Linked DNA regions of Callithrix jacchus. The protein of the gene in region 1 interacts with the protein of each later gene in a biochemical or structural test. Links are inferred from orthologs where the notes say so. Each region holds a gene or a part of one and is shown in the gene's direction. Other genes may lie near its edges.

What was found. The genes of interacting proteins can lie anywhere in the genome.
Region 2: the proteins of SNTA1 (region 1) and DMD form a complex in vitro, tested with the Homo sapiens proteins (2 studies listed by BioGRID, with this or other methods). The link is inferred for Callithrix jacchus from reciprocal best matches to the Homo sapiens genes SNTA1 and DMD.
Region 3: the proteins of SNTA1 (region 1) and CYSLTR2 interact in a test that uses a peptide from one of them, tested with the Homo sapiens proteins (2 studies listed by IntAct, with this or other methods). The link is inferred for Callithrix jacchus from reciprocal best matches to the Homo sapiens genes SNTA1 and CYSLTR2.
Region 4: the proteins of SNTA1 (region 1) and ADRA1D interact in a test that uses a peptide from one of them, tested with the Homo sapiens proteins (2 studies listed by BioGRID and IntAct). The link is inferred for Callithrix jacchus from reciprocal best matches to the Homo sapiens genes SNTA1 and ADRA1D.

The regions. Positions count from the first base shown.
Region 1 is NC_133506.1:5,876,815-5,883,479, forward strand, and holds the start of SNTA1 (alpha-1-syntrophin), read left to right. Parts: upstream 1-2,723; 5' UTR 2,724-2,852; coding exon 2,853-3,162; intron 3,163-6,665. UniProt on the Homo sapiens protein: Adapter protein that binds to and probably organizes the subcellular localization of a variety of membrane proteins. May link various receptors to the actin cytoskeleton and the extracellular matrix via the dystrophin glycoprotein complex.
Region 2 is NC_133524.1:33,238,424-33,244,383, reverse strand, and holds part of DMD (dystrophin), read left to right. Parts: intron 1-1,569; coding exon 1,570-1,749; intron 1,750-2,288; coding exon 2,289-2,417; intron 2,418-4,021; coding exon 4,022-4,192; intron 4,193-5,960. UniProt on the Homo sapiens protein: Anchors the extracellular matrix to the cytoskeleton via F-actin. Ligand for dystroglycan.
Region 3 is NC_133502.1:67,254,280-67,260,239, reverse strand, and holds the end of CYSLTR2 (cysteinyl leukotriene receptor 2), read left to right. Parts: intron 1-1,889; coding exon 1,890-2,934; 3' UTR 2,935-5,353; downstream 5,354-5,960. UniProt on the Homo sapiens protein: Receptor for cysteinyl leukotrienes. The response is mediated via a G-protein that activates a phosphatidylinositol-calcium second messenger system.
Region 4 is NC_133506.1:11,729,462-11,734,333, reverse strand, and holds the end of ADRA1D (alpha-1D adrenergic receptor), read left to right. Parts: intron 1-1,774; coding exon 1,775-2,376; 3' UTR 2,377-3,279; downstream 3,280-4,872. UniProt on the Homo sapiens protein: This alpha-adrenergic receptor mediates its effect through the influx of extracellular calcium.

The DNA.
Region 1 (6,665 bases):
CAGCTGGGCATGGTGGCTCTTTCCTGTAATCCCAGCACTTTGGGAGGCCGAGGCAGGCAGATCACGAGGTCAAGAGATCGAGACCATCCTGGCCAACATGGTGAAACCCTGCCTCTAATAAAAATACAAAAATCAGCTGGGCGTGGTGGTGCGTGCCTGTAGTCCCAGCTACTCCGGAGGCTGAGGCAGGAGAATCGCTTGAACCCGGGAGGCGGAGATTGCACTGAACCGAGATCAAGGCACTGCATTCCAGCCTGGGTGATAGAGTGAGACTCCATCTCAAAAAACAGCAAGTAAAATCCCCCCTTTTTTTTTTTGACAGAGTCTTGACCTATCGCCTAGGCTAGAGTGCAGTGGTGTGAACTCTGCTCACTGCAACCTCCGCCTCCCAGGTTCAAGCAATTCTCCTGCCTCAGCTTCATGAGTAGCTGGGATTACAGGTGCCTGCCATCACGCCTGGCTAATTTTTTGGTATTTTTAGTAGAGACAGGGTTTCGCTACATTGGCCATGCTAGCCTAGAACTCCTGACCTGAGGTGATCCACCCACCTCGGCCTCCTAAAGTGTTGGGATTACAGGCGTGAGCCACTGTGCCTGGCCCTGAGTTTTTTCTTTTTCTTTTCTTTTTTTTTTGATTGTATCTTATGAAGAGGATTTTACCCAAAAGTTCAGGGAGTCTAAACACTGGTGTGGTTCTATTTATTGCCCAACATATCCAAAAACAGCCACACCAGGATAAGAATCAATGACCCAGGTGGTAGTGCCCCTGCCTTAAAGGGTATGCACTACATGGCAGGCAGCGTTCAGTATCGTAAAGATACCCGCTGCATGGCAGACTTGGAGCAAGAGTCACTCCTGAAAGGGAGTTGTAGTATCTTGTGTCCAGTTCTTTTGGAAAGCTGGCCTAAGGCTGGCAATCCTGTGTACTCTGAGGGCTTAAAACACCTCTGGTATAATCGAGCCTAGGTGGCTATACACCCTGTCAGCTCTCTCGCTATTGTGCTGACTCAAAGCAACCTCCTATAGAAATCGTTAGTAGCAGCCTGCAGGTGGCTGTATACTCTGTCAGCTCTGTTGCTATTATGCTGACTCAGAGCATCCTCCTATAGGAATTCTTAGAAGTAGCCTGCCCCTAGATAAGAGATGCTGCACACTGCACCCTCCTTACTGTGCACTGTCCACCCCCTTAGGGGTGGACCCCTTGCTGCACATTGACCACCTCCTGTCTCGGCTACCTAATGGGGGTGGACTCTTTGCTTATTGCACACGTGATTGTCTTGACCCTATCACTATCCTTAAGATGACCTCACTCACTACCCTTCCCCCTAACCTATACCTAACGAATACAGATGTGCCTGGACGCTCAGGGCATCGCCTGTCTCCACTTGTAAGTGGCGTTGGCCCCCGGAGCCCAGCTGTCTTTATCCAGTCCTTTGGTGTCCTGTCTCCTTATTTCTTGGATCCAGTGCTTCAGCACAGTGATAGGGGACACTCCAGGACCCTAGTAGGGCTGGACCCTACACCCGACCTCAGGTGATCTGCCTGCCTCGGCCTCCCAAAGTTCTGGGATTACAGGGTTGAGCCACTTTTCCCGCCGAAAGTGATTATTTCTATAGCATAGGGATTCACAGTTTACCACGTGTCTTCACATTGATTTAATCCTCACACCAGCCCTGTGAAGTAGATATTATTATGAGCCACATTTTATGGATGAGGAAATTGGGGCCTAGAGCAGTGATGTGAAGGGACCAAGGTCGACTTGGAGCTAACAGAGCAAGGATTAGAAACCAGGTCTCCAGACGCCCAGACCCAGAGCCCCACCTTGCAGTCCTCTTCCCACACACTAGGAGTTCGAGATTTTTCTGCCAGGCCTCAAAGTGTGGGACTTCAGGTTTTTCTATCCTCGACTGTTAACAGAGCCAGGGATTAATCTCTTAAATTTCCCTCCAGTTTTGAAGTGGGGATCCTGCCTAAGCCCTAAGCGGAGCCGGCAGCTCTCTCCTCCGGGGGCGGGGCCCGTTACATCTGAAGCCACGCCCACTATAAGCCACGCCCACAGACCAAAGCCTCGGTTACCCCGATGCGAAACCAGCTTCTTCCTCCGCTCTCCAACTAAAACTCTGCCTGTAGTCTCTCGCGGCTCAGTATCTACCTTTTTTGTTGTTTGTTTTTGACACAGGGTTTCGCTCTGTCACCCAGGCTGGAGTGCAGTGGCATGATCGCGGTTCACTGCAGTCTCAAGCTTCTGGGCTGTCATCTAGGCTTCCCAAACTGTTGGGATTACAGGCGTGAGCCATCGCGCCCGGCCGATGTCTACCTATTAAACTCAAGCCCTGGAGTCCAGAGCTCCGCCATACGCAGCACGACGCCCAATGCTTCGCACCAGGATACGTGGTTCTGTCTCTTTTTCATGCGCTCCCACGTCCGCGAGCTACAGTCTCGGCCCTCGACGGACATTCCTAGCACAGAGACCCCTGAGCTGGATCACTGGGTTACTCCCCCGAAGAGAAGCCCCGCCCCCTGACTCCCCGCCCAGCACCACGCCTCCCAGGCGTCTCGCCTTACTTCGTGGCCCCGCCCCGCTCCTTCTAAGCCGCAACCTAGGTAGTTCCACTCGGAGGCCCTCGGCTCCCGTGCCCCGCCCCGGCCTCCTGCTCCTGCCCGAGGCCCCGCCCTAAGCGCTGGCCACACCCCTGGTAGCCCCGCCCCCAGAGCTCCTCCCCCAGCGGCCAGGGTAGGGTGGCGGCTGGCCCAGCCGGGCCCCCGCTGCCCTCTGCCCCGGGTGCTTGGTAGGAACGGGCAGGGCACGGCGGGACAGGGCGAGCACGGAGGTCCGGGGTCTCGGAGGCGAAGATGGCGTCCGGCAGGCGCGCCCCGCGTACCGGGCTGCTGGAGCTGCGCGCCGGGGCGGGCTCGGGGGCCGGCGGCGAGCGGTGGCAGCGAGTGCTGCTGAGTCTGGCGGAGGACGTGCTGACCGTGAGCTCCGCCGACGGCGACCCTGGCCCCGATCCCGGCGCTCCGCGGGAGCCGGAGCCCGCGCAGCTGAACGGCGCCGCGGAGCCAGGCGCCGGGCCCCCGCAGCTGCCTGAGGCGCTACTGCTCCAGCGGCGCCGCGTGACGGTGCGCAAGGCCGATGCCGGTGGGCTGGGCATCAGCATCAAAGGTGGGCGCGGGACACCAAGGGTACGGGGTCGCGGTGTCTGGGGACCGCTGAGGGCACAGGGGGCTGGCAGCGCGCCCAGGACATGGAGGCCTTCTGTCTGGGGGTAAGGGGATTCTGAGGAAACAGGTAACAGAGGGCACTGGGCGCACCAAGGTCGGAGGGGGTTTCTGTAGTTGGTGACCTTAGGGGGCACGGTAGCTACTGGTGTGGAGGATATTGTGGGAGCACCAAGGACACGTGGGTGGGGAGTTGTGTGTGGAGGCGTGGGGGTCTGAGTGGCAACCAGCATGAACATCAAGGACAAGAGGGGTCCCCCAAAAAGCAGAGAGTGGAGAAAGGGAGTTGAGGCTGGGACACCGGTGGAGCAGGGAGCAGGGAGTCCCTGAGAAGCAACCAAGTTGGGCGCAGGGCGGAGGCCTGGAGTCTGGGAAGCACAGGGGTGGATAGGAGGCCTGGGTGCAGGCACAGGCTGGGGTCACAGAGAGAAGGCCAGCAAGGCCTTAGGAATCGAAGGACCCAGGAAGGCTATGGGGAGCCCCGACAGCTGGATTTGAGTCTCCTGGTCTGAGTCACCTTGCACAGGATAGAGAGAGCTTTCAGCCCCCAAGACTGACCACTAGTAGGGTGCAGGTAGAGTGCAAACAGACTGCGTTTGAGTCCAGGACCAGCTGTGTGAGCCTGCGCAAATCCCATCCCATCTCTGAATCTTAGTTTCCTCAACTGTATAAGAGGATGATAGAGTTGTGACTTCTGAGAGCAGGGCTCACCACACCAGCACATTGTAGGTGCCTAGTTAATTACTGCTGTTAGCGGAGAGGAATATTGGAGTCCAGGAGATACTCCCAAAGCTACTAAACATAGTGCTTAAAATCCTTGCACAACCCCAGCTGCTGGGCTCACTATTCCTGCCTATCTGTTTCTCAGGGTTCCAGCCTCCAGCAGGGTGCTTTGGGAAAGGGTGTCAGCCTTTTTCTGCACCTTGAATATGAACTGTCCCCACCCAGGTCTCCCCAGTACTGATTCTGTTCACTAGTGCCTCCAGACCCTTTGGCTTGGCTGAGGCAGTGAGGATGGTAGTGAATGCCACCACTGCGTGCCATGTGTGGTGCCCAGGACACTAGTTTCATGATCCATTTTATCCTGGCAACAAGTGGTGAAAGATAGGGAATATAATCCCCACATCACAGGTGAAGAAACTGAGACTCAGAAAAGTAAAATGATTTTCCACGATTACACAGTGGGTGTCAGCCCTGGGATTTGAACCTTAATTATCAGCTACTGTCCCCTAGAGAGTGCTCAGGGAAGTTGATTCTTTCCTGCAGAATGGCAGATCCCCAGGCAGCCAAGAGGACCTAAAAAGGGGAAATGGGAAAACGAGCATATGGGCACCAGTCTTACCCCCAGTCTCCAGCATGGGATGGGACAACAGACCAATCCAAAAATTATATACTCAGTGTGTCACAGCAGGTTGTTTATTTATTATTAATATTTTTGAGATGGAGACTCACACTGTTACCTGGGCTGGAGTGCAATGCCATAATCTTGGCTCACTGCAACCTCTGCCTCCCAGGTTCAAGCAATTCTCCTACCTCAGCCTACCAAGTAGCTGGGATTACAGGTGCCCACCAACATGCCTGGCTAATTTTTTTTTTTTTTTTAGTAGAGAGGGAGGTTTCACTATATTGGCCAGGCTGGTCTCGAATTCCTGACCTGATGATCCGCCTGCCTCTGCCTCCCAAAGTGCTGGGATTACAGGCGTGAGCCACTGCGCCTGGCCTGAACTTATTCATATAGAGTTCCATTCTACAGATGGACACACTGAGACTCAGAGAGGAGCAGACTTTCTAAGTCACACAAAGTTCCCCCCCAGCTGCATACTTCTAGGTGGAGGGAGACTTCAGGTACTATCATAGGATCCAAATCCTTGTGGATGGAGACTGGGCTCCTGTTGTCATGGTAACCCATCCTCTAGAGTCTAGCTTAGTCTGAGGCAGCCATGAGTGATCATAGCTTCCAACCGAACTGAAACCCCTAGTTTCAGATGGGGGAGGACAGATATAAATAGAAACCCCTTTCTCTCCTAGACTTCAAGCTCTGTGCAGATAAGCAAAGTGTTGGGCCTGTGTGGGGGTCAAGAGAGGTGTTCCAATCCCAGCTCTGCCACCAGCTTGTGTCACCTTGGAACAATGACCTCCCATTCTGGGCCACTAATTCCTCATCTTCAGTATTCTGGGAATGAGCCAGGAGTGTGATATTTGAGGGCCTGACGTGCCATCTATCGTAGGGTGAATAGTGTTGGTTCTGGAGCCTGGAGGCCTAGGTGCAAATACGGGCTTCGCTACTTACCAGCTGAGTGACCTTGGACAAGGGGCTTCCCTCCACACTTCAGTTTTCCTAATAGGAAACTGAGCATGCCTATGAGATGGGGTATTGTAAAGACGCAATGAAACAACATTGAACGCATTCAGCACAGTGCTTGGCATTTGATACGTGCAACTAAGGTGAAGGTGAACTGTTATTACTATTTCTTATTTTTAAAGGGCTTTCACAGTTAAGTAATAAAGCGGTTTAGTAAAATGTATTAGCTTCTTTTGTATCCGATATGTAATTCAGACAGGCTTTTAGAATCTCTAGACTTTAAGGCTTTGGTTTCCAGCCTGGACCTTGGGTTGTAAAACATTATGATTGCTAAAGCAGTCTTTTGAGGCCATAGGAATAGCTGACTGCTATCTTGATTCCAGTTTGAGGGGTATCAGTGGATTCCCACATTGCTGCTTTTTTTTTTTTTTATGAGACAGAGTTTTGCTCTGTTGCCTAGGCTGGAGTACAGTGGCATGATCTCGGCTCACTGCAACCTCCACTGCCTGGGTTCAAGAGGTTCTCATGTCTCAGCCTCCTGAGTAGCTGGGATAACAGGAGTGTGCCATCACACCTGGTTACTTTTTGTATTTTTAATAGAGACAGGGATTCACCATGTTGGCCAGGCTGGTCTCAAACTCCCGACCTCAAGTGATCTGGTTACCTCAGCCTCCCAAAGTTCTGGGATTACAGGCATGAACCACTGTACCAGGCCCCCACATTGCTGCTTCAAAGCCAAATTTTTTTTGGAATTTTCTTTTTCTTTTTCTTTCTTTTTTTTTCAGATGGAGTCTGCCCACTCTGTCGCCCAGGCTGGAGTGCAGTAACGCAATCTCGGCTCACTGCAGCCTCTACCTCCTGGGTTCAAGCAGTTCTCGTGCCTTAGCTTCCCACATAGCTGGGATTACAGGCATACACCATCATGCCTGGCTAATGTTTGTATTTTTATTTTATTTTGAGAAGGAGTGTTGCTTTGTTGCCCAGGCTGGAGTGCAGTGGTGTAATCTTGGCTCACTGCAAACTCTACCTCCTGGGTTCAAGGGATTCTGCTGCCTCAGTCTCCCGAGTAGCTGGGATTACAGGCATGTGCCCCCATGCCCAGCAAATTTTTTGTTTTTATTTATTTATTGTTTTGAGATGGAGTT
Region 2 (5,960 bases), on another chromosome or scaffold:
GCAAAAACAAAACAAAAAGTACATGAAGGGATTTCGAGTGGACCAGGACCTCATGGTGTAGCAGAAAGACAGCCACAGGACTACTTAGGGATATTATAAAGATAGAATAGACAAGTTGAGAGCAACTTTGTGAAGCCAGCCTACAGCTAATTTCTTACTCTCATACTCTAATTTATTTCTTAAGAAATTAGATATAGGCTGGCCTCATGGGGTTGCTCCTTGTATGTTAATTAATTGATTATTTGTAGGTGGGATCCTCTACTTCCTTGTTATTGCTGTTTATCAATGATTTTGTTTTGCTTTGGCTTTCTGTGATTAAGACATCAGCTCTACTCGCAAATAGCTTTTGAGCTCGAGTGCCAGTCATAGTCTCTGTATCTGTTAACCTTATTGAGAAAGGAGAAAGTGTCTGTTGGGCTTTGGCTCAGCTCTCTGTGGATGTCCAACAGCTGGCTAACTAGGCTGGCGAGGGAAGAACCAAGCACAAAGGCAGTGGAGTGCAGAGTGGCCATATTGTCAGCCATGCCATGTACCAGGAAAGGGGCTTTATGCTGGGCAGGTAGTAAACATTTTTACTTGGATCACTTTTTCCATCAATGCTCCATATATTTTTTATGTTAAATGTGATTGTTTTCATGTTTTATAAATCAATTCTTAGGAAAGAATGTTCTTGTAGAAGATTTTAGTCTAGGGTATATGGATATAATTAAGGTCTGTGAAGGAATTGGGGGAAAAATACATCCTTATATTTATTCACCTAAAACCAAAAGTAAGCATGTTTTTTTTTTCAATTATAGATGTGAGTAACAAACCCCAATAATAGAAGTGCCCATAACTTTGTCAATAATAGAAATGACAGATAATTTTATGACATGTTCCATGTGATTTATATACTTAAAAATAACAGTTATGCTCATCACTACATTTAAATTTTCCTAAAGACCTGCTGCTAGATCTTGTTAATTAACCTGTTAATAAATAAACATATTGCTACATCACATGTATTTTTAAAATGTTTTGCATATTGTATTTCAGTATAATTGTTTTCATTTAAAATCCTGGATATTTTGTGCCTTTAAAAACATTATTATGAGAAAGGTTTCTTAAGTTTCAACAGATGCCAAAAAGATCCATGGCACTAGAAGGCTAAAAGTCCCTGCAGCAAATATAGTATCACTATACTGCAGAATTTTCTAAAGGCAGTTTCTTATTTGTGGATGCGTTTTCAAATGTCTGCCTTTATCCACTACATATACAAATTAAGTAGATATAAGTATATTGAGGCGAACAAGATGTTTATTAAATGTGTAATGAAAAATAAGACATGAATTATGCTTATGTGTATGTGTCTGTATATATGTGTGTGTGTATATATATATATATATATGTTGATAGTTACCCAATAATGAAACTGCAGTGTGTATGGTATGGTTTTCATGATTCATAAATACATAGTTATAGGTTTAAAACCTCATAAAATCTTAGTAACCATACAGAAAGCCATTTCATAAGCATTACATCTTAAAGCTACAATGTATTACTTGAAGGTCAATGCTATCCTTTTCACAGGCTACTCAGAAAGAGATTGAGAAACAGAAGGTGCACCTGAAGAGTATCACAGAGGTAGGAGAGGCCTTGAAAACAGTTCTGGGCAAGAAGGAGACACTGGTGGAAGATAAACTCAGTCTTCTGAATAGCAACTGGATAGCTGTCACCTCCCGAGCGGAAGAGTGGTTAAATCTTTTGTTGGTAAGAGAGAAAGCTAGAAGATTTTACAACTTTCTCAGTCACAAGAAAAAGATACATAAGTGACCAATAATAATTTTCTGTTTGCTAAACACTGTGCTTTATTTTCTTAACCAGTTGTGTGGTGTGAGTATCAGAATTGAAACACTTTTTTGGGGGTAAAAAATAGAGCCTTTATATGGACAGAATTTTCTTTGTTATTTTAGTGAATTTGCTCTGTAATTCAGTGTATTTCAGTTCTGTCAAAAAGTGTAAATGTTAGTTTCTTGGTAAAGTCCTTTTCTTGCTACCTTGAAAAAAAAATAATAATTTTATGTTTGAAAATTTCTCAATTCCACATATATGCTGGCTCTTAATTCAATATCTATAACAATATTTTAATATATTTTCTTTATATTTGTGCAATATTCTATATGAAAATACCACTGAAAACTAATCTGAATGAAACTGTTATTGTCTTTTTAAAATTTTAGAACATAAGTAAAATTCTTTAAGTATATAATCTAACCAATAATGTCATGGTATATCTCTGTACAATTAAGGAATATCAGAAACACATGGAAACTTTTAACCAGAATGTGGACCACATCACAAAGTGGATCATTCAGGCTGATACACTTTTGGATGAATCTGAGAAAAAGAAACCCCAGCAAAAAGAAGACGTGCTTAAGGTAGCAAATAAAATATGAAAAGTCATGTTCAAATTGTACAGCAGTTACTTTCAATGATCTTTGTTCCAGAAGATACTAAGGCTGTCCTAATAAGAGTAAAGCAATCCTTTCTTCCTTTCTTTGTCCTTCCTTTTTTCCTTCCTTCCCCCTTGGAATGGTAATTAATAATTTGGAAGAATACTGTAATCTGAATATCTGTTCAAATCCACCACTCAGTTAGTTATACCCAATGTAAACTATGCTCGGAAAGAGATTCCAAGATTTATTTTGAAATCATATTGTAAATTTCTGCTTATGTTAATGGCAGTACTACATTCTTGGGTCTAGCACAAAGAACTGTCTCCTGCCACCATTTATTCAGCCCACCTGACATCCCATCATCTGAATGTTTTGCCTATGCCATATCTAAATCTTAGTAATTAGTCCTAATATTGGGCTTACGTAAAACTGAATTTTTCATTTTTTTTTTTTTTTTAATTTTTCATTTTTTACTGAATGTAAAGTAAACAACATTTTGGGTGCTCTCTTTTAGTATTGAAACTGATTGTTAGAATGCCCTGTCTTCTTTTTCAAGGGCAACTTAATATTTTCTTTAAAAAATGATTCTGATAAAAGGGTATGAGAGGTATAATATGTAAATGTATGTTATTGATGCTACATTGTTTCTATTTGATAATCTCTCCTTTCACAAACAGGTAGAGCTGAATTGTAACAGCTCTTTTAAATAAATATTTTTATTTTATTTTGTTGAAATGTTTGATAATTTTATTGATTAGTTTTTTTACAATTTAAAGAAAACTCAAAAATTATGTTTCTTTCTATGCAATTCTTTTTTATGCCTCTGATATTTTCCACAGATTGCAATCTATATTTAATGTAAAACTATAAATGCATTCCAGACTTTCCCTAAAACACATTTATGCCATTGTCTGAAATTTATTTTGATGTGGATCTCTATTGTCTGCTTCATTGTCCCTTGACATAGAGTCAAAGATGTCATCTTATAGTGAAATTCCTTCAAGACTTAAGGTCTGAGTTAAGTGACTTACAACTTCTGTGACCCGGCAGGTACCTCTGTATGTGACACAGTACCTCTGTATGTGACACAGAATTCGTATCTGTTAGAAAACCACATTTTTTCTTACAACACTCAATATAATAAACAAAGAAGAACTTGAAAGTGCCAGGAAGGAATAGAAAAGTATTCTTCAGCTACCTTAACTCTTGAGCATGTACTTAGCTTATTCCACAACTGTTAAATTCAGTAATGATATAATAAGATTAGATAGAATATATTATGATAGTTGCAATAACATAGGAAAACATCCCTATCCTTCCTCAGACTAATCATTTTAAATATACATGCATTAGACTTAAGGACAGTGACCTGTATTTCTGAAATCACACACATTTTCATTTTACTCCTGTTTTATGGACGTTGTGATTTTTTTCTCCCTTTCTATTTTCTGCATGTGCTTACTCTCTCTTACTTTCTCTCTTTCTCTCTCTCTTTCTTGTGCACTCTCTCTGTTTTGCTCTCTATTTCTATCTTGACTTTCATTAATTACTAACTTCAAGTCCTGTCTCTTGCTCGTGGAATATAGCGTTTAAAGGCAGAACTGAATGACATACGCCCAAAGGTGGACTCTACACGTGACCAAGCAGCAAACTTGATGGCAAATCGCGGTGACCACTGCAGGAAATTAGTAGAGCCCCAAATCTCAGAGCTCAACCATCGATTTGCAGCCATTTCACACAGAATTAAGACTGGAAAGGTAGGAAGATCTACTCCAAGGTGGAAACTAGTACTAAATGATCTCTTGCGAAGGTTGCACAGTACTCTGAAAGGGGCAAGTAGACCCCACGGCAAGGTTTTCAAAAGGAAAATGAAGGCCAACCTGTATTTAAGGAAATTTTACCACTGACTATAATGGGAGATAAATCAATCTCCTCTCTCTCTCTCTCTCTCTCTCTCTCTCTCTCTCTCTCTCTCTCTCTCTGTCTCTCTCTGTCTCTCTCATATCTCTCTTTCTCTCTCATCTTCTTTTTCTGCAACAGATATTCTAGAACTGCATTCTACACTGCAGTTTACATATGTACTTTCAGGGGTCACCTACAGAACAATAACAAATAACATGCTAAAGGCCAAAAAATTAAACCAAAAAGCACGCAAGTCATCCATCAAAAGAAAGCACTGCTGATATATTTTGCCAAAAGCACTACTGATACAATGTTGCTTGTATGTAATGTAGATCAAATATCCAAAATGAGGCCTTGTGTATATTCTGCAGGATCTAGGGTGTTTGTACCTCTTTACTGATTGTGCAAGTGTGTGTTTAACTTTATTTTGCTAGTTGCAGATACTGTGACAAAATTTTTTAGGCTATAATGAAATGTTCAAGCCATGAAAACCAATCATTGCAAAGCTTATATATATTCTAATTTTTTGTAATTTTATATGCCTATTTATATTTATACTGTTTAAGAAAAGCCAGGGAATATGGAACTTTTGCATGATAAACTTTATATTTGTTTATGATTTGATGAAGACAACATCTTATTTGATACGTAGTCTGCAAAAATGTATAAATATAGTATTATAGATTTGCAACTCTTGGGGAAGATTTGGAATGCCAGTAATTACCCAGAAATTTATATACTGTAGTTCGATAAATTTTCAATATATATGATATGCTTTTAAATATAAAAATGTACATAAAATCAATATATGTATTTAGGTATATAGATAATTGTTAGAAATATTCAGAAATGAGAAAACATTAAAGTATTTCTGAGAAATATGAAATAATATGTCAGGTAAGTGTTGATTTCTGGAAAAATAGAAGAACATATTCAAAATTTGTTTTGATATATATAAGCAACCAGGAATACCATGATTTCACAATTATTATACTTTCTAAAGCATTACAGTGTATCATCATGTTATATAATCGTACATATTTGGGGTCCAAAGTGGCTCCCGCCAGAGGTCGTGGCGCTTGCGAAGGCGAGGTCATGAGTTCAAGGCTAACCTGAGCAACCTTATAAGCTCAAACTGATTGGCAAAAAAAAAAGTACATATTTAAATTAGTTTTCAAAATAAATGTGACATGACAAATTCTAAGTAGTTGTTTATGTGCACGACACACAATTACCCTTCAAAATTCACCTTCCCAAATTAAAAAGTTGTTAGTTTACCTTAATTCACCACAAGTTATTTTTGATATTTAACTACTTAGTTTGCTTGCACTCTCTCCATACATAGAGCCTTTTGTAGTTGACCTTTAAAAGGCTATATTGTCTACATACAGATTGAGAGAATACAAGAGAACTAAGGAGTTAACTGTCACAATTATATATGTTAAAGTCAGTCATTATCACCTGCAAACAAATCTGACAGGCTCTTAAAACTTGTCGGAGTATAGTTTTGAAAGAATTTATTGTTACTCACAAAGACAATTGTTTTACTTCTGAAGATATCAATGGCTCATGTAATAACTAAACAATCTATGAAGGTTTATTTCAATAATTTAAAAATGCTAC
Region 3 (5,960 bases), on another chromosome or scaffold:
GAAAAGGCTATCTTTCCTTCACTGAATTTTTTTTGCAGTTTTGTGAACACTTAAAGGCATGAATATTCTGCTCTTGTTGGGTGAACTCTTTTATAAATGTCAATTTGATCCTGTTGGTTGATGGTGTTTTTAGTTTCTCTATGCCCTTGCTGAGTTTTTGTTTATTTGCTTCAACTGCTGAGAGAGGGTCTTGAAGTCATCAAATATTTCTCCTTTCAGTTTTTTTAGTTTTGCAAACTCTGTTGCTTGGTGCATACCCATTTAGAATTGATATGTCTTCATAGTGGTTAAACCCCATTGTTATTATATAGTGTCTCTCACTGTCTCTGGCAATGTCCTTTCCTTTGAAGTCCACTATATTTGATACTAAAAGAGCCATTCCCAATTTTCTTTGATTTGAATGACATGCATTTTTTCATCCTTTTACTTTCAAGCAGCCAATACTGCTATTTGAAGTATTTGTTATAGGCAGTACATAATAGGGTCATTTAAAAAATATATTTCAATCCTCTATCTTTTAATTGGTATATTTAGACTGCTTATATTTAATGTAATTATTGATGAATCAGGGATGACTGCAATTTATTTTTTGTTTTCTGTTTTTATTATGTTTTCTATTTCCTGCCTTGCTGTTGGTTATCTGAACACTTTTTGAATTCTGTTTGTATTTATCTGTAATGTTTTTGAGTATATCCCTTTGTATATTATTTTAGTGGATGCTCTAGGTATTTCTCTCTCTCTCTCCTCTCTCTCTCTCTCTCTCCATATATATATATATTACAATAATCTATTCACATCATCATTCTATCAGTTCAGGTGAAGTATAGAAAACTTACCTCCTTTTATGTCTCTTTACCTTCCCTCATTTATAATATAGTTATCTTAATAATTCCTCTACATCCATTTAAAACCACTTCAGAGAGCATTAACATTTTTGTATCAAAATGCTAAATGTAACCTAGACTCTAAAAGAGATGGACAGTCTATTGTATTTACCCATATTTTGGCTTACCATGTTCTTATTTTCTAATGTTCTAAGGTTCCGTCTTTTATGAATTCCTTTCTGTTTAGAGAACTTCCTTTTTTTCTTTTGAGAGGGAGTTTCACTCTTGTTGTTCAAGCTGGAGTGCAATTGCACAATCTCAGCTCATTGCAACCTCTACCTCAGGTTCAAGCAATTCTCCTGCCTTAGCCTTCTGAGTAGCTAAGATCACAGGTGCCTGCCACCATACCCAGCTAATTTTTATATTTTTAGTAGAGATGGGCTTCACCATGTTGGCCAGACTGGTCTTGAACTCCTGACCTCAAGTGATCCACTTGCCTCAGCCTCCCAAAGTGCTGGGATTACAGGCATGAGCTACTGCACCTGGCCTAGTCATTCTTTTAAGATAGGTTTACTGGCAACAGAGTCTTAGTTTTCCATCATCTGAAAAAATCTTGATTTTCTCCTTGTACTTGAAAGATATTTTTGCTGGATATAGAATGCTAGGTTGGCAGGTCTTTTCTTTCAGCATTCGAGAAATGTGCCATTTTCTTCTGTGCTCCACAGCTTCTGATGAGAAATCTACTATTCAGCGGTTTTAGGTTCACAGGGAGGTATTCATGTCAACATGGGCACTAGGTCATAAGTTCCCTAAGTTTGAAGCTTCAACTTCTGCCAAACAAATTAATGGCTATTCTACATTCTATAAATCAGAAAATGTAAATTTATTATGAAATATAATGCAGCATATAGTAAAGACTTAACCAATATTTTAAAACTCAACTTTCAAAGAAAAGATGGTATTGCTCCCTGTTTTATTAAAACCTAGAGCGATATAATCAGTAAGCAAGAAGGAAAAAGGGAAATTCACAAAGTAACTTTTTGTGTCTGTTTCTTTTTAACCCAGGATGGAGAGAACATTTATGTCCTTACATCCATCCATCTCCTTATCAGAAATGGAACCAAATGCCACCTTCAGCAATAACAACAACAACAGTAACTGCACAATTGAAAACTTCAAGAGAGAATTTTTCCCAATTGTATATCTGATAATATTTGCCTGGGGAGTCTTGGGAAATGGCTTGTCCATATATGTTTTCCTACAGCCTTATAAGAAGTCCACATCCGTTAACATTTTCATGCTAAATCTGGCTATTTCAGATCTCCTGTTCATAAGCACGCTTCCCTTCAGGGCTGACTATTACCTTAGAGGCTCCAACTGGATATTTGGAGACCTGGCCTGCAGAATTATGTCTTATTCCTTGTATGTCAACATGTACAGCAGCATTTATTTCCTGACTGTGCTGAGTGTTGTGCGTTTCCTGGCAACTGTTCACCCCTTTCGGCTTCTCCATATCATCAGCATCAGGAGTGCCTGGATCCTGTGTGGGATCATATGGATCCTTATCATGGCTTCCTCAGTAATGCTACTGGATCGTGCCACTGAGCAGAATGGCAGTATTACATTATGCTTAGAGCTGAATCTCTATAAACTTACTAAGCTGCAGACCATGAACTATATTGCCTTGGTGGTGGGCTTTCTGCTCCCATTTTTCATACTCAGCATCTGTTACCTGCTGATCATTCGAGTTCTGTTAAAAGTGGAGCTCCCAGAATTGGGGCTACGGGTTTCTCACAGGAAGACACTGATCACCATTGTCCTCGCCTTGATCATCTTCTTCTTGTGTTTCCTGCCCTATCACACACTGAGGACGCTCCACTTGGTGACATGGAAAGTGGGTATATGCAGAGACAGGCTACATAAAGCTTTGGTCATCACACTGGCCTTGGCAGCAGCCAATAGCTGCTTCAATCCTGTGCTATATTACTTTGCTGGAGAGAATTTTAAGGACAGACTAAGGTCTGCACTCAAAAAAGGCCATTCACAGAAGGCAAAGATAAAGTGTGGTTTCCCTGTTAGTGTGTGGTTGAAAAAGGAAACAAGAGTATAAGGAGTACTTAGATGAGACCTGTTCCTCTATCCTTGTGTCCATCTTCATTCACTCATAGTTTCCAAATGACTTTGTATTTACATCATTGCCAACAAATGTTGATTGATTCTTAATATTTAGTTGACCACAACTTTTGTTAATAAGACTTACTTCAAAAATTTTATTCAGTGTATTTTCAGTTGTTGAGTGTTAATGAGGAATACAGGATGAAAAATTCCTACTAGAGTCCTGTGGACTGAAATATCAGACTGGGAAAAAATACAGAGCACATTGGATCCTACTTTTCTTCAGATCCTGAACCAGATCTGTGGCCCATCAGGCTTTCTAAATTCTTCAAAACATCCACAACTTCCCCAGCTTCTATAGCTCCCCTGCCCTCTTCAATCCCCTGAGATATAGCCAACTAACAATGCTACTGGAAGCCCCAAAGCAGACAGGAAACACATCCTAAGATTCAGGGAAAGACTAACTGTGAAGAAGAAGGCTGTCCTTTCACAAAACAGCATCAAGGTCCCAAGAAAGGACAGTGAGAGAAAAGGGGGGAGAAGGATTAGAGCAAAAGAGAACTGATGATAAGTAGGGGAAGGAAGAATTTCATTTTGCATTGGGAAAGGAGTTCTAACATACTGAAGACAACACTATTTCTATTGTTTCTCTCTTGCCAGGGTATTAGGAAGGACAGGAAAAGTAGGAGGAAGATCTGGGGCACTGCCCTAGGAAATGGAAGAATTGTGTGTAGAATGGGAGGGAGAGCATCAAGGTCACGTATCTTAAAATTTTTTTTGAGATGTAGGTTAGTTGACCTTGCTTCTATTCTTCCCAGTAATTCACTGGGATGGAAGCCAAAAATAAAAGAGTTATCTCTGGGCTTTGGGGTTGGGCACACAAGGGAACGATGGAGTAGAGGGCAAGTTGCAAAGGTTGTTGCACCCCTGAAATTCTGTAAACATTTTGGCAGAAGATGAGTAAGGTGATGCTGCCTTCCCTCTTGAGAGAGTAGGAAAATGCTAGATAGTTTGAGAGATTCCTTTCTGTCCACTGAAACAAGGCTAAGGATACTACCAACTACTACCACCATGACTGTTGTACTGCCAACAATTGAGTACACTGCCCCTGCTAGGCAGATTATGCCAGGCGCTTTGCATTCATTAATCCCATTTGACATGCACATATAAAGCTCTGAGTTTCCATTTTACAGCTGAAGAAATTGAAGCTCAGAAAAATTAAGAAACTTGTTTAAGTTTACACAGCTAGTAAGAGTTCTCTGTGCAGAAGTATTGGCTGGGTGCTCTCCCCACTGCTACCCTTGTCAACTTCCAGGAAGATTGAAAGTCTGAATAAAAGCTCTCCTCTCCTACCAGCTTCCTCCCCCTCCTCACTTTCACAAGAAAACCAAGGTTTTCTCCATAGAGTTGTTGACTTCTGGTACAGTAAAGGGTGGAGGTGACATGGCAGCCTGAAGGTTGGGAGGGACTAAATCATTCTTCCTACTAAACACAAATCCCAGTACCCTTCCCTTATTTAGCTACCAGAATGATGACAGACAGACTCAAACCCTGTCAAGACAGGACCCTGTGGAGGATCCTCCTATGGAAAACTGCATAATCTGAGAAAAAGGCTGATTGATACAGGTAGCTGGGGATCCTTCAACACAAAAGCTGGGTGTCTGCCCTATTACTCACCTGACAATGAAGCCCACAGTGCAACAAATCCATTCTACTCACAGCATTTGGTCAACCGGTCAGAGCCTCATAATTATGAGCAACAGTCAATGACCACAATACTTTTGAGGAAAAGGCCCTAACATGGAAAGCACCAACAAATGTGAGAGTTAATAGAGACCTTTTCGTATAAAAGGTCTCAGCATTTTCATCACCCTTACACTTTTATCAGAAAGCTAGTGGAGAATGTATTCATCCAAAATAAGAGATTAAACCAAGATAGAGGAAAACACAGTAGCTAGGAAACAAGGAATCCAACACAGGAGAAAGGTGAAGGGAATTCCCAGGATGTTGGTGTGTGGCAGGCTCAGAAAGCAACTCATTCATGTTGGAGCAGAATTCTTAAAGGGCTCTAATATGGATGTCTCCCAGAAAAAGAAGAAATTAATTGATTTATACACATTGAGAGGAATTTATATTTCTTTTGGAAGATTTAGATAAAGTAGTGACAAATACATAGAAAAACAAGTAAGTGAAAACAAAATACAGTTATTAAATGCTAGTGGAAAAGAAATTTTTGTGTTAGGAAATATAACCATAGTACACTACATGGCTCAGCTGTGAATAATATATACATAGCAAATAATGTGACTATAATAGTCTCCCATTATCTGTGATTTTGCTTTCTTCAGTTACTCATGGTCAAACAGTTGAAAATATTAAATGGAAAATTCCATAAATAAACATGTCTTAAGTTTTTGTTTGTTTGTTTGTTTGTTTGTTTTTTCCTATTAGCCAAGAGTCTGTCAAGAACAAGTCTTAAGTTTTAAAACACGTGCTATTCTGAGTAACGTGTTGAAGTCTCACACTATCTCACTCTACTCACGTTCTGGGCAGGGAAAAGTGGGATGGTGTGAGATTTCTCCAGTGGATCCACAATATATATGCTACCTACCCATGAGTCACTGAATCATCATCCAGTTGATCAAACCAACTATTGTGATGTAATAGTGCTTGTGTTAAACTCACTCTTATTTTACTTAATGACCCCAAAGCATAAGAGTAATGATGCTAGCAAATAAGATACACCAAAGACAAGCTGTAAAGTGCTTCCTCTAAGAGAAAAGGTGAAAGTTCTTGACTTAATAAGGAAAGAAAAAAAAAATGCTGAGGTTGCTAAGATCCACAGTAAGAACAAATCTATCTGTAAAATTGTGAAGAAGGCAAAATAAATTTGTGCTAGTTTTGCTGTTGCACCTCAAGCTGCAAAAAGTATTTATCACACTTCACAGTGGGTGATAAATGCTTAGTTAAGATGAAAAGGTATTACATTTATGGGTGGAAGACATGAACAGTAATGTTTTC
Region 4 (4,872 bases), about 5.9 Mb from region 1:
GAACCACTGTAAGTCAGGGACCATCTACACTGAGCACCACCATCATCACCCCACCTGCAGCTCAATGATACTCACTCACATTCTAGCTAGGAAATAAGGGCCATGTGTAATGCCTCCTCGTGTGTGTTAGCCCAGCACAGCGCCTGGCACACAGCAAACCTTGGCCAACATTTAATTCCAGGGTTCTTATCCCTTTTTGTTACAGACTACTCAGGCATCTGGGGAAACCTACCTGTCCCTTCTCAAAGTCATGCTTTCAAAAGCATGAAACAAAATACAAAAGATTACAAATGAAACAGATTTTATTGAAAAAGCCATCAAAATATTTTTACAGGAAATGTGTGACTTAGTAATGAATGTGCTTCTGCATTAAGGTGTCACATACCAAGATCGTTCAATTGTTCTGGACCATTTGTTGAAAAGACTCCCTTATCTCTATTGAATTATCTTTGTACCTTTATCAAAAATAAATTGACTCTGTGGGTCTAAAAACAAATAACAAGATCTAGTGGTGCATCCTAATGACTGTCGTTTCCCAAAAATGAAGAGCATGGAGACTATTTCAAAACATCTGCAACAACGGAAAGTCACAGGAAAATATCTATGGGGACTGCTAACATTAGTTTGAATTACATGATCAATTAAAGAAAAAAAAACTTTAAAAAAATATACATTACTTTTATTTAGAAGTCTTAATGAGGACTACAGACTAAGCCCTGTAGGCCAGCCCTTCAGAGAGCTTGTCTCAGACTGCTCCTGCACAGTATTTTAATCTGCCGTTTATAAGTAGTGGGGGTTCCATTTATATTAAACTTGCTAGAAGTTCTATTAAAGCAGAATTATATTGAGTTTTGGGTGTAAGAGTATATTTGTTCATAGCAGCATAATTACTAACCTGTTCAGATGTTATCTTATGTGCAGGAAGAGGCAAGGACTAGTGTCATTTATCATTTCAGGAATATAGTGACTCAGACAAGAGATGTGGCAGGGAGGTCGGGGCATAAGTTCTATCCATTTTATCTTGAAAGCATCTTTCCAGAGAGCTGTACTTTGTCACAGAGTCAGGGACTTTGGGAAATTATGCTGGCGCACAGAAATGAGCAAACAGACCGGGCACAGTGGCTCACAGCTATAATCCCAGCGCTTTGGGAGGCCGAGGTGGGCAGATCACAAGGTCGGCAGTTCGAGACCAGCCTGGCCAACAGGGAGAAACTTCGTCTCTACTGAAAATACAAAAATTAGCCAAGCGTAATGGCAGGAGCCTGTAGTCCCAGCTACTCGGGAGGCTTACGCAGGAGTATTGCTTGAACCCGGGAGGCAGGAGTTGCAATGAGCCGAGATTGCCCCACCGCTCTCCAGCCTTGGCAGCCGTGTGAAACAAAAAAAAAAAAAAAAGAAGAAAGAAAAGAAAAGAATTGAGCAAACATGACTTATGTTTGCTACTTTGTGTCATAATAGGAAACCGCCAATATTGCACCAGTTTTGCGCTGCAAAAACAGCAATTGCACGCGGTTTTGTCTAACTCTACTCTGGTTTGTTGCCTATACTCATTGAAGGAAATCCTCAATATGAGGTAGAGGTGAGCGAAAACAATTATTATTTTTCCCTATCCAAGTTCATAGACCTCCTGATTTACAGCACGGATCCCTTGAGAACTCCCAGTCAGTGACTTAGCCAAGGATACTCAGCCAAAGTATCTCCCCTTTGTGCCCAGGGCCTGCCTGGCCTCCCCCTACCCAAGCAGCTAACCAGTGTCGGCCTCTGCCTCCTACAGGCTCCCTGTTCCCGCAGCTGAAGCCATCGGAGGGCGTCTTTAAGGTCATCTTCTGGCTCGGTTACTTCAACAGCTGTGTGAACCCGCTCATCTACCCCTGTTCCAGCCGCGAGTTCAAGCGCGCCTTCCTCCGCCTCCTGCGCTGCCAATGCCGTCGTCGCCGGCGCCGCCGCCCCCTCTGGCGAGTCTACGGCCACCACTGGCGGGCCTCCACCAGCGGCCTGCGCCAGGATTGCGCCCCGAGCTCGGGCGCCGCGCCCCCCGGAGCGCCGCTGGCCCTCACCGCGCTCCCCGACCCCGACCTCCCAGGCATGCCCGAGATGCAGGCTCCGGTCGCCAGCCGTCGAAAGCCACCCAGCGCCTTCCGCGAGTGGAGGCTGCTGGGGCCGCTCCGGAAACCCACCACCCAGCTGCGCGCCAAAGTCTCCAGCCTGTCGCACAGGATCCGCATCGGGGGCGCGCAGCGCGCAGAGGCAGCGTGCGCCCAACGCTCAGAGGTGGAGGCCGTGTCCCTAGGCGTCCCCCACGATGTGACCGAGGGCGCCACCTGCCAGGCCTACGAATTGGCCGACTACAGCAACCTACGGGAGACTGATATTTAAGGACCCCAGAACTAGGCCGCAGTGTGCTGGGCTTGGGAGTAAGGGGGACTAGAGAGGGAGGCTGGCTTTGTTCAAGAGGCGTCATGCAAATCAGAGACCCGACACCTGATCGGGGTAGCGCTCTGCGGCCTCCCTGAGGAACTGGGCGGAGCTTGAGGCTGGAACCCTTGAAAGGTGAAGAGTAATGGGGCCCCCTGGTGGACTCAGGTGCCCAGAGCTCTTCTCTTAAAAGGGAGGGGCTGCGGGCTCCGTGAGGCCATTTGCTCCCAATCCGTATTTGAGAAGCACTGCCCCATCCCCCATGCCCTGAACCCTGAGTAAACAGCCCCAAGCATGGCCAGGAAGGCCTGCCTCTCCTCTTCTGGGGAACTGGCACAGAAGCTTTGTGGCCAGTTGCCCCAGTGCCTCCCTTAGGGAAAAAGTCAGTGGGGCCAAGGCTCCTCAATGGACAGATTTCTCATTCTTACTGCCGACTGGAGGAACCCAGTAGACCTACCACCGCCGCCCACAAGCTTTGGTGGCAGATTGTATGGCCGTCATGCAAGTCTGTTGTATTTATCCATGGGCCCTCTGTCCACCACCCAGGCTCCTCCGTGCACCCCCATCATCTGGCCCTGCCCCTCATTACTTCCCCTCAAGGGCCTTACTGTTTACACTCTGTACATAGCTCATTGTGCCTGTGCCCATCACTTCTTGCTGGGATTCCGAGCCACCAATTGGAGAGCTTTATTTGTCGTTTTGAAACATATTTATTGGTAAGAGTACTTCTATTTTGTCCACACTGTGTAAACTGTCCCTCTTTAGCCCATAACCCGTAAAATCTACTTTTTTCCCCTAAAGTCTTTCAAGAACTAAAGGCCCACAACAGAATAGATTGGATCTACATTTGCCTTTCTGGTTAACTTAACTGATTCTTTAACTGATGGCTGCTGGGACTTTTAGCATAACCAAAGGACTTGGGGGTTTGTTGGGTTTTAAAACTCAGATGATCAGTCTTGTGAACCAAACAGTAATCCTAAGCACAAATACTCCCTTTGTCAGTCTCCCCAGATGCTTATGTGATGTTCTGAGGGCCTCAGTGAGGAAGGCAGCCATCAGGTAAATGGGTAAAACATAACTTTACATGAGAAAAGATATACAAGGCCGAGTAAGTAGGCGTACATGGCTAGTAAAAGAACCCATACCTAGGAACCATATTTATTAGCTTTGAGTATGTCATATTCCCATTTGTTGTATTCCCATGAGATTGCAGGCATTTTAGCTGGATAGTATCAACCACATATATCCAACCAGCATGGGGGTGACGGCGTGGCCCCATGGACCCTTGGTAGGAAAGTGGGTTAGACAATACACTGGGGTGTCTGGGGGTGCTCTGAACTGGATGACCCAGCTGCTGGGGCCACATAGACCAGTATTTTGAGCCCAAAATTTCCATTCTGTACTAGGTAGGTAGTCTCTCTGAAAGGTCACCAACAATTTCAGGCATCTCACCCAAATTTTACAGAGTTAAAAAGGCAGCCAATATCAGGGCTTGGAAGCAGACATTTCACACCATGAATCTGCAGTAGGTTCTCAGCTTCTCAGCTTTCAGGCCTGCCCCCCCGCCCCCCACCCCCGACTATAGGTGCAGGAAGGGAAGTTTATGGCTAGGAGCATGTTGGGTGCTGACAGAATGTTGCATACTCCAAAGAGGCTCCACTTGGCAGCCCATTGGCTGCCCTAAAGCTGGGGACACCAGGGGACAGCCCTCACTGTCTTCTGGCAGAGGTAGGGGACATCTGTCAAATCAGGGGTCAGTAAGGAGGCAGACCCCAAGTGTCAAAGAATTGAACATTGACCTCCAGGACAGGGGTGAGCCACACCTGTTTCAACAGCAGCCTTGGGTTTGTGGGGGGTCTCTAAGCAGAGCAAAAGTTGGTTCTGTTGCCAGAAAGGGGTCCCTATCGAGACCCCAAGAGAGAGTTCTTGAGTCTTGCACAAGAAAGAATTCAAGACAAGTCCATAAAGTGAAGGCAAGTTTATTAAGAAAGTAAAGGAATAGGCCAGGCATGGTGGCTCACACCTGCAATCCCAGCACTTTGGGAGGCCAAAGTGGGTGGATCACCTGAGGTCAGGAGATTGAGACCAGCCTAGCCAACATGGTGAAACACTGCCTCTACTAAAAATACTAAAAATTAGCCGGGCATGGTGGCAGGCACCTGTAATCCCAGCTACTTGGGAGGCTGAGGCAGAAGAATCACTTGAACCCAGGAGGCAGAGATTGCAGTGAGCCAAGATCACGCCATTGCATTCCATCCTGGGCAACTCCATCTCAAAAACAGAAAAAGTAAAGGAATAAAGATGGCTACTCCATAGGCAGAACAGCAGCGTGTGCTGCTCAGCTGCTTGTACTTATTGTTACTTCTTGATTATAGGCTAAACAAGTGGTGGACTATTCCTGAGTTTTCCAAATAGTCCAGGAAAGGGGTGGGTAATTCCCAGAACTGATGGTTTCTC